2 linked regions of the Nothobranchius furzeri genome follow. The protein of the gene in region 1 purifies or fractionates together with the protein of each later gene. This does not show direct contact. Links are inferred from orthologs where the notes say so. Each region holds a gene or a part of one and is shown on either strand. Other genes may lie near its edges.

Evidence for each region. The genes of interacting proteins can lie anywhere in the genome.
Region 2: the proteins of obsl1a (region 1) and calcium/calmodulin-dependent protein kinase kinase 2 purify together in Homo sapiens (affinity purification with mass spectrometry; 4 studies listed by BioGRID and IntAct, with this or other methods). This does not show direct contact. The link is inferred for Nothobranchius furzeri from reciprocal best matches to the Homo sapiens genes OBSL1 and CAMKK2.

What each region holds. Positions count from the first base shown.
Region 1 is NC_091742.1:63,105,415-63,109,579, reverse strand, and holds the start of obsl1a (obscurin-like protein 1a), read left to right. Parts: upstream 1-1,346; 5' UTR 1,347-1,580; intron 1,581-3,645; 5' UTR 3,646-3,750; coding exon 3,751-4,165. UniProt on the Homo sapiens protein: Core component of the 3M complex, a complex required to regulate microtubule dynamics and genome integrity. It is unclear how the 3M complex regulates microtubules, it could act by controlling the level of a microtubule stabilizer.
Region 2 is NC_091746.1:48,735,361-48,739,692, forward strand, and holds the start of calcium/calmodulin-dependent protein kinase kinase 2, read left to right. Parts: upstream 1-1,508; 5' UTR 1,509-1,696; coding exon 1,697-1,765; intron 1,766-1,984; coding exon 1,985-2,326; intron 2,327-4,332. UniProt on the Homo sapiens protein: Calcium/calmodulin-dependent protein kinase belonging to a proposed calcium-triggered signaling cascade involved in a number of cellular processes. Isoform 1, isoform 2 and isoform 3 phosphorylate CAMK1 and CAMK4. Isoform 3 phosphorylates CAMK1D.

The sequences.
Region 1 (4,165 bases):
AGCAAATGTCTCTGCCAATTCTCTTCCAACTGAAACCTGATCCCAGGACAAAAAGCGACGTGATTGTTGATGCAGTCATCCCTTTAAACAGCTGATTGATGACTGAATGGATAAGAATGGAGCTAACATTGGGTGGATACGTGACATAAACCGAACACAAGAGGAATCATCAAAGAAATGAATTCTGAGAACCAAAGAAATGTGTTTATTTCAACTGCAAGTTTGCAAAAGAATGAAAGATATGTGACCTGAACAGAAGGTCAAATATCTGTCGACAGCTTTCAGAGTGTCGCAGGGGCTTTGCTTCCAAAACACTTTTGAAGCGATAGCTTAAAGAGCTATTGTCTGAGAATGCAGGCAGTAAGTGTCTACAACAGATTCAGATCTGTTTTGGAGAGGGACAATTGCCGGTACTTGCAGTGGAATAACTACTACTTTACTCACAAAGCTTACCAGACTTAAACCTCTTGTTCTTCATTTACATGCTGATGTATTGAAACTAAAAACACTTGGATTGATTTTAGATGGAAACCCACAAACTCCCAGTTTACCATAAAGGCCCAGGTGGTAGAGTGCATGAAAGCCTTTAACTCCCAAGATATTGAATCCCAATGACAAGGATCAGCATTAGTCTCTTTCTTTTAGGTGAAGCGGTCTCTTATGACCATTTTCAATAAATCTTGCATCGCATCTTTCCTCACTATCCCTACATGCTGGCATGGAAGACTCGGAATAAGTTCCGAAACAATTCCACTCACTAAAATTTGACCGATTTCTGAATTTACAGCATAATTATTCTCTCTCACCTGTTTACCAAACAATACTGTTGTTGGGTCTAAAACAAAAAAAGCCCCTAAAGTCTTGTCTAGAAGTACAAGAAGTACAGTAACTAATGTGACATTGTAGGTTTTCATATCAACCTATTTATTCCAACATCAATACCATTGTTTAGCACCTCTCAATATAATCTTGTAATGCTAATGTGATTTAAACTTGAATATCTTTATTAGTCAGTATGATTGACTAATCAAAGAACTCTAGGGGGAAGGACGTCCGTCACTCCTGAGGTCTTTAGAGCTGATGGATTCAGTGCAGGTCTTGGCCTCCCAGCTATCTTTAGTGGACCATAGTCTGTGAATGGAGTGTCTAACTTTATCTGGCCCTTCGTCATGTTAGCTGTGGGTATTTTTAGGGGCTAGCTTGCAGTGGTAGCAGCTGCAAAAGAATTTATTTTCCTCTCCACTCCCTCTTTTACTCTCTAGCCTTTGGACAATGACAGAATCAGCATTGATGTGAACGCCACACGGTAATCCCTGCAAGGTAATGTGTAATTGGATGGACACGATCAAGAAAAGACACCTGTGAGCCTGACCCAACAAAAAAAATCCCTTTGTGAAGTGAACTGCTAGTTCATTGAGCCAGAATCTGTAAGCAGGTCGAAAAGACAGAAGAACAGACGTAAGCGGTCTACGGACATCTGTCTTTAAGAAGCCCACCTACAACTAAAGCAACCTGGTTGGTTTATGGACATCAGTTTTGAAGCGATCAAATGCTAAAGATGAAGTCACTTTAAAAGAGCGGTAAGTTTCACCTGTAAATGTTCATTTTCTAGTTTGAAAATAGTTTTCTGAAAAGTATCAGAAGGCTTTGTTAGTTCCTTTAATTCAATTCAGTTTATTTATATAGCGCCAAATCACGACGAGTCGTCTCACGGCACTTCACACAGTAAACATTCCAATGGAGTTCAGTTCATGATGCCAATTAGTTAATTTCCTATGTGAAGAAATGTGGAAATAAAATGTTTCTTTCTTGTATAACTAAGCCCGGTAAATGTGTATACTCCCAGTTATCAGTATTAGAGTCTAATAATAAAAAAAGCAACTATTCATTCAGAAAAAAGGGACATTTTAAATGAACTATGGTTGTTACAGCAGAACATTAAACATGGAAAAATTAAAAACACCTGCAAAAAAAGGTTTCACTTCTATTATGTACGTATTTATGCATTAGGTTGGTGACTTAATGTGTGTTCATGATGTTTTTTTTTGTCTGAGCTGTGACACATGGTCTTCAGCATGAGGCTACTTTATAAATACACTCTCCAATGAGTTACAGCACCAGCTGTGAGACAACCATGACTGTTTTGAGTTTGCTGAAAAATATCTTTCCTAACGTCCCAATGTCAAGATAGCTTTAGCCTTCCTGCATTCCATATCAGTGGTTAGCTAAGTTGGGGTTGGGACTCTGTTGTAGATCCTGAAACAAAGTGTGGGGTCTTGAGATGATCATCATAAACTCAGTTAAAGAGACACTGTGTAGTTTTTACCATTAATTTCTGGAAACATCCATCAAATTTTTGTTGAAAATAATGAAACAATGCCCAGTTGTTGAAAAATATTGACGGCTTTGTAACACATAACCCAAAAAATGTTGGTCTAAAATACATGGGAGCAGGCCTACGTTTTTGGACGATGCCATATTAGACGCCATGTTTCCTTCATCAGGAGCCCATGAGGACAAAATTAATTTACTGATTTGTAACAAACGGTTACAAAATGTTCACCATTCTTAAACGTTGTTGCTTTACACATTTACCTCGTCACTTGTTGCGAGTGATGAAGGAGAGTCGGATGTGCTTGTTATTTTGCTGAAGTTTGCACTCCCCAGGGCTTTTTGACCCTAACGGGGATCCGTTGGTAAGGTCTTCCTCCAACAAAAAAAAATACTGCTTTACGATTTAGGTATCTACTGCCTCCTATCGCCATGAAAATATACACACTGTCACTTTAAATGCAAAAAAAAAACTAAATAAATAAGCTAATTATTTATTTAATTGCACTTAATACAATGAATTAAGAAAGAATTGATAAATTTCAGTGTTATTTAACCATGTTACTGTCAGTGTTTGCATACTCATGTCTCTAGATGGGGTTGTTTTGGGGGTCAGAAGCAAAATAGTTTGGCAATCTCTATTCTAGAAATCCTCGATAGTTTGTTGGACCTTTGGCATAATTCAGGTGATCCTCTGTTAAAACCCTTGAATTAACTTTTGATGGGTCCTTTGAATTTGACAAAGAGGTCAGTTCAGTTGTCAACACAAGTTTCTTCCAGATATGACTTCAAGCAAAGGTAAAGCTCTTCATCTCTTTCAAAGATAAAAAAAATCCTCATGTTTGTTTTACAACTAACTTTGTTATAATGTGTATCATAAAGGTCTAGACTAGTCATAGCTTCATTTTCTACTGATGGTGCAAAATACTGCTGCTACGCTTCTAACAGGAACAAGAAAGCTAGACCACAAAGAGCTCCTTCTGGTGTTGCTCAAGTGACTTCCTGTCCAATACAGTTTCAGTAGGTCTTAGGGTTCTTTAAGGGTGTGTCTCATTCTATGTCATAAGTGTTTGCCTTATGTAGTTCTACGCCTCATCTATAATCCTGCAGCCAAATAACAAAATAATCTTAGATATTCTAAAATAAAATAAAAAATGCGGTGATCTTTGGAGATGCTGCCCAAAATCTGCTTAGATTAAAGAAACAAACTCTTGGATTTCTTATATTTGTAAGAATAGATGAGTCTATGGCCTTCCAAAAGACAAAATATTTTCCCACTAAATATAAACTATGATGTGTTTCTTTTTGTGCCAGAGTCAAGACTACCCAAAAACTACAGCCAACATTACAAAAAACAAGAATCTAACTTTGAAAACAATACCAGTTCTGCATTCAGGAAGGCAAAAGTTGACATTCATCATGGATATTCTTGGCGGTGCTCCTCGTGTTTTGGGCTACCCACGTCCTGTGGTGGTGCAGTGTGGAACAGATGCAACATTGAGGTGCCAAATCGGTGGAGACCCTCGTCCGGATGTTATCTGGGAACGTAAAAATGTCCAAATTCTTTCTGAAGGACGACACAAGCTTGCAGAGGAGGGAAAAGCATACTTGCTAACCATTAAGGGAGTGACCCAGCAGGATGCTGGCCAATACATCTGCAAGGCAAGAAATATCATAGGTGAAACCTACGCAGCGGCCTCACTCAAAGTGGAGGGAGAGCTCCTTGTACAAGACGGAGACATGGTTCAGTCAAGGGTAACTGGTGAAAAGCAATCAGTGAAAGCAAACGAAAATGTTAGTGGATATCTAAATGGCTACAGCGCAGTGGTAAATG
Region 2 (4,332 bases), on another chromosome or scaffold:
CTCTGCCCCAGACGCAGGCCCCCAAGAGCTCGTCGTCGTCTCCTCCTCTGCCCCAGACGGAGCTCCCTGGACTTTACTGGTTCCTGCCTCCTCTCCACCGGTCCCTCAGTTCCTCTTGGCCCTCCTTCCTGGTCCCCCTCCTCCCACCCTGCTCTGTGTTCCTGTGGGTGTCTGGGATCCGCCCTTTGAGGGGGGGGGGGGGGTGTAGGGTACTGTCACACCCTGTCCTGTCTCCCCGTTCTGTTTAGTCATGTGTCTCTAATTGCTCCCACCTGCCTCTCGTTTTCCAATCACCCAAGCTCCCAGCCCTCTTGTATTTAAACCCCTTCAGTTCTGTGTCTCGTGTTGGATCATTGTTTCTATGTCAGCGTGTTCCCGATTAAAATCCCTGTTTTAATGTTCCTGTTTGCCTGCCTGCCTCCTTCACCCGTGTGTGGATCCTCACCTCCGTCTCACTCACCAGCACGCCTGACATTATGTTTCTATCCTAATGAAAAAAAACATGTTTAATATTTTTGTTTTACTGAAAGTATAACAAAACTGATTACTAGTGTGCTTGGATCCTGTATGTTCTTTTCTAGTTTAGTTTAGTTTATTTCAAACAAAGAAAACATACATCATTTTTTTTAAAATACCACAAACAGAAAAAATACATATCATCATCCCTTCTTCTCTGTTTGAAAAGGAGTAGGCAGAAGTGGGAACTTATATGTCCCTACCCCTTTATACAAGTAAGTTTTACTTGTTTACTAAATCTAACACAAAACCTACATTAAAACAAACAAAATGGTACAAGTCACCAAAAAATAAAAAATAAACACCAAACCATATGGGAAAAAAAACAACAAAAAAAAACACATTTTTTTTACAATTGATACAATTTACTTTTCCTTAGAATAAAGGACACCCACTTAAATCATCGATTTTCCACTATATACTTGTTCAGAATATGTTTTTTATAATTCATTTTTAACACATTTATATTTGTACTTACTTTGATTTCCTCTTCTAAATTGTTCCATAATCTAACCCCTATTATTGTGATACACAATATACACAACCCCTTTTAGGGGTTAATAGTTAAATGCTTTCTAAGACACATGAGAAGTGTGGGTTTCAGTACCGTCCTCTAAATAAACAACATCAAAAACGAACTCTGAATGTGGAAAATAGAGCTGTGCTGCTTTAAATGTGTTGTCAGCTGAGAAACAGCTTTTGTCTTACTTTTCTGTGATGGGGACTTTGAAGTTCAGATGTGCTAAAGAAATGCAGATTGGTTCCAGCTAACACTCCTACCTGTTGACACAGCTGTGAGCAAAATAAAGACATTCCCATAAAATCTGACAGTTTAACCACCTCTCAAATGCTTATGTGTAGTTGTGCAGTAGCGGGGAAGTGTGTATTTGCAATTTTTTACGTAACAATCTGTCTTTTACTTTCTAAACAAACCCATATTTTTCTGTCCCTTTGCCTTAGACACATCTCCCCTTCGAAGGTTTGCTCTGATGGAGCAGCGATTCTCAGTCTTCCTGGACAGGCACCATGTTTCCTTGCCACGTAACTGCTTGGCCTTCTGCTGAGCCCCCAGCGTCTTGCGGTAGCCATGCCCCCTCAGTGCAGCCCTCCCAACCTCTCCCTGATCTGCTGTGCAGCTGTCCTGTGCCACCTTTAAACACTTACACTGTCCTCGGACCCCATGGAGTCCCTCATCGTGGTCACGGAGTATGAACCAAGCCGGCCACCTGGACAGGCTGCAGAGGAAGAGGTGAGATGAAAAATAATCTGATTTATAGAAAGTGCAAGATTCAAATACATAATTGGGAAAATTTGTAATAAATCTTCATATTGACCTAAAGTGAAGTTTCAAATGCTAGCCTGAATAAAAACACAAACTTTAACACCTTATTAAAAGTTTGTACTCAACTACTGACATTTATTTATGTTAAAATGAAGTAACAAAAATTATTTCTATGCACTACATCAGGTAGAAGAAATGGACAGCTCTGAGACGCCCGAGCCTGCTTCCTCCCCTGCAGCACCTTTCCGGACTCCATCCTGTGACCTGCTGTCCCATACATTTGGTCGGCCAGAGGCTCTGCTGCCGGAAAGCCAAGAGCAGAGGGGCAGGCTGAGCCTGTCCGACCGGAAGCTCTCTTTGCAGGAGCGCTCACAGACGGCAGCATCCCCCTGCAGCTCCCCTGGATTAAACGGGCGCTATATTTACCCATCACTACCATACTCTCCTATCACATCACCCCATTCTTCTCCACGTCTGCCCCGCCGGCCCACCGTGGAGTCCCACAGCGTCTCCATCACAGATCTGCAGGTACTGTTCAACCCTGAACTTTACCTTTTAGTTTTAACACCACAGTCAATTATTTGGGTTGTCACATATCAAATAATCATGACTTTAAAGAAAATTGTCTAATTAATGGCCACAAGCTGTGCAGGAGTACTGGTGATAATGTGATTCTGGATCTCTGAACCATCTGACCCACTTCATTCTTTTCTAGATGTTGTGTGTTGCATGAAACCCAAAAAACTTACTCTGACACATAGCCATGGTTCTCTTTAAAGATGTGGTTCACCCATTTAATCAATAGAGCTCCGGACGTCACGTGACTCTCAGAGAGTAGACGCCATGTTGGCAGGCAACAAATGTAAACAAAATGAACGGGATCGGCTTGGATTTTACTTCGTTGGAGTTTACTTCACACTTTAAAACCAAATAAATCTTTTTATATAGTCAGAAATTAAATTGACTAAACATCTCCGACCCTTACCGTGCCCCTGGGATACTTTTTAAAAATGCCAGAAGCTGTCAGAACGGACTTCTTACCGGACCTGGCCGGGGAACGCCTTGGGATTTCTTCGGAGGAGCTGGCCCAAGTGGCTGGGGAGAGAGAAGTCTGGGCCGCTCGACTTAGGCTACTGCCTCCATAACCTGACTCCGGATAAGCGGATGAAAATGGATGGATGGACAAATAACATAGATTTACATGTAAGTAGTTTAAATAGAGTGCTGTGCTGTTTGAAAGTATAAACTGAGCGCCAAGAGAAATCACTAGTCTGATTTTTTCCCGTGAATAAAATAAATATGTCAGGCAGGAGCGTCTCAGGATCTGTCTGAGATCTGTCTCGGTGAGACAGATAATAGCAATCCAAAGTGCTTTTTATGTGTGATCTGACAATTGATCAACCATTGCTTAAAAATTAAATACAGCTTAGCCGGTTAATTGCTGTCATCATAAAACACGTAAACGGCAGCACGCAGAAACACGAGGCAACGTTTTACGTGACGTTTACTTGTTGCTATGAGTAATAAGACAGAAAAAGCCACGCCAAAATAAGTTTAGGAAGCCCACTAAGAATCGTAATAAAAGCATTTAAAATAAACACCATACACAGTTGAGGAAACGTTGGTTTAAGTACCTGATATGAAGCGGTCGCTGCATAAGCGAAAACCTTTACTCTCGGGATCCCACAGTTTCATTTTAGCCCGGTCACTAGCACGTTTTATTACAATGATCCAACGTTTGCAGCGCTCCGGATCTTGGGGAATCCTGTAGATGGCTCATTCCTTGTGTCGTCCACGTCTGTTCTGCATTCTGGGGCACAACAGGAATCTACCATATTTCCTGTTTGATTGAGTTTTCTGACAATAACAAATAGTCCAGCCGCTGGCTTCTGACTGCCAAGATGGCGCCGTTTTGATTGGAACTGTTGCATGCCGGGAGAAGTGACGTCAACTCCCGGAGCTCTATACATTTGCAGTGGTCTCTAGCAGGAATGCCATTTTCGGAGGTAGGGGTGGGTATGCCTGTTTCAGGAAGTACAAATCAGCATGAGAAAGAAGCTTCAGGTGGCAGGATTTGGATTTGAACATCTCCCTTCTGATCTGCTAACAGCAAAGCAACTCTATCACTGACTCTGTTAGCTCTGCAACGTTGATGCTTTATCTCCACAAAAAACACAAGCTTGAAGGAGTTCTGCTGTGTTGTGGAGTTGCTAATGCTAAGGGCTGTGATATACTTGCTGTTTGACCTCGTGTTGGTGCAGGCAGCAGGCTGCGTCTTTGTTCACATACTTGCTACTACACAGCACTGCACTGCATGTAGTTCTGGAGCATTCCATTAAGGGGTACACTAGACTATTCAGACCAGATGGAGAGAGCTGGGTTTGTGGGTACAGCCAAAACAAACATGGCGTCAATAAAAGACCTCACTAACTGGTTAGTTTGGAAATCACGAAAGAAAAAAAAGAGAGCAGCGGTGAGATGGTGTGAAAGCCCTCTAAACCAGATACAGAGTCACCATGTTGGCACGACGCGAG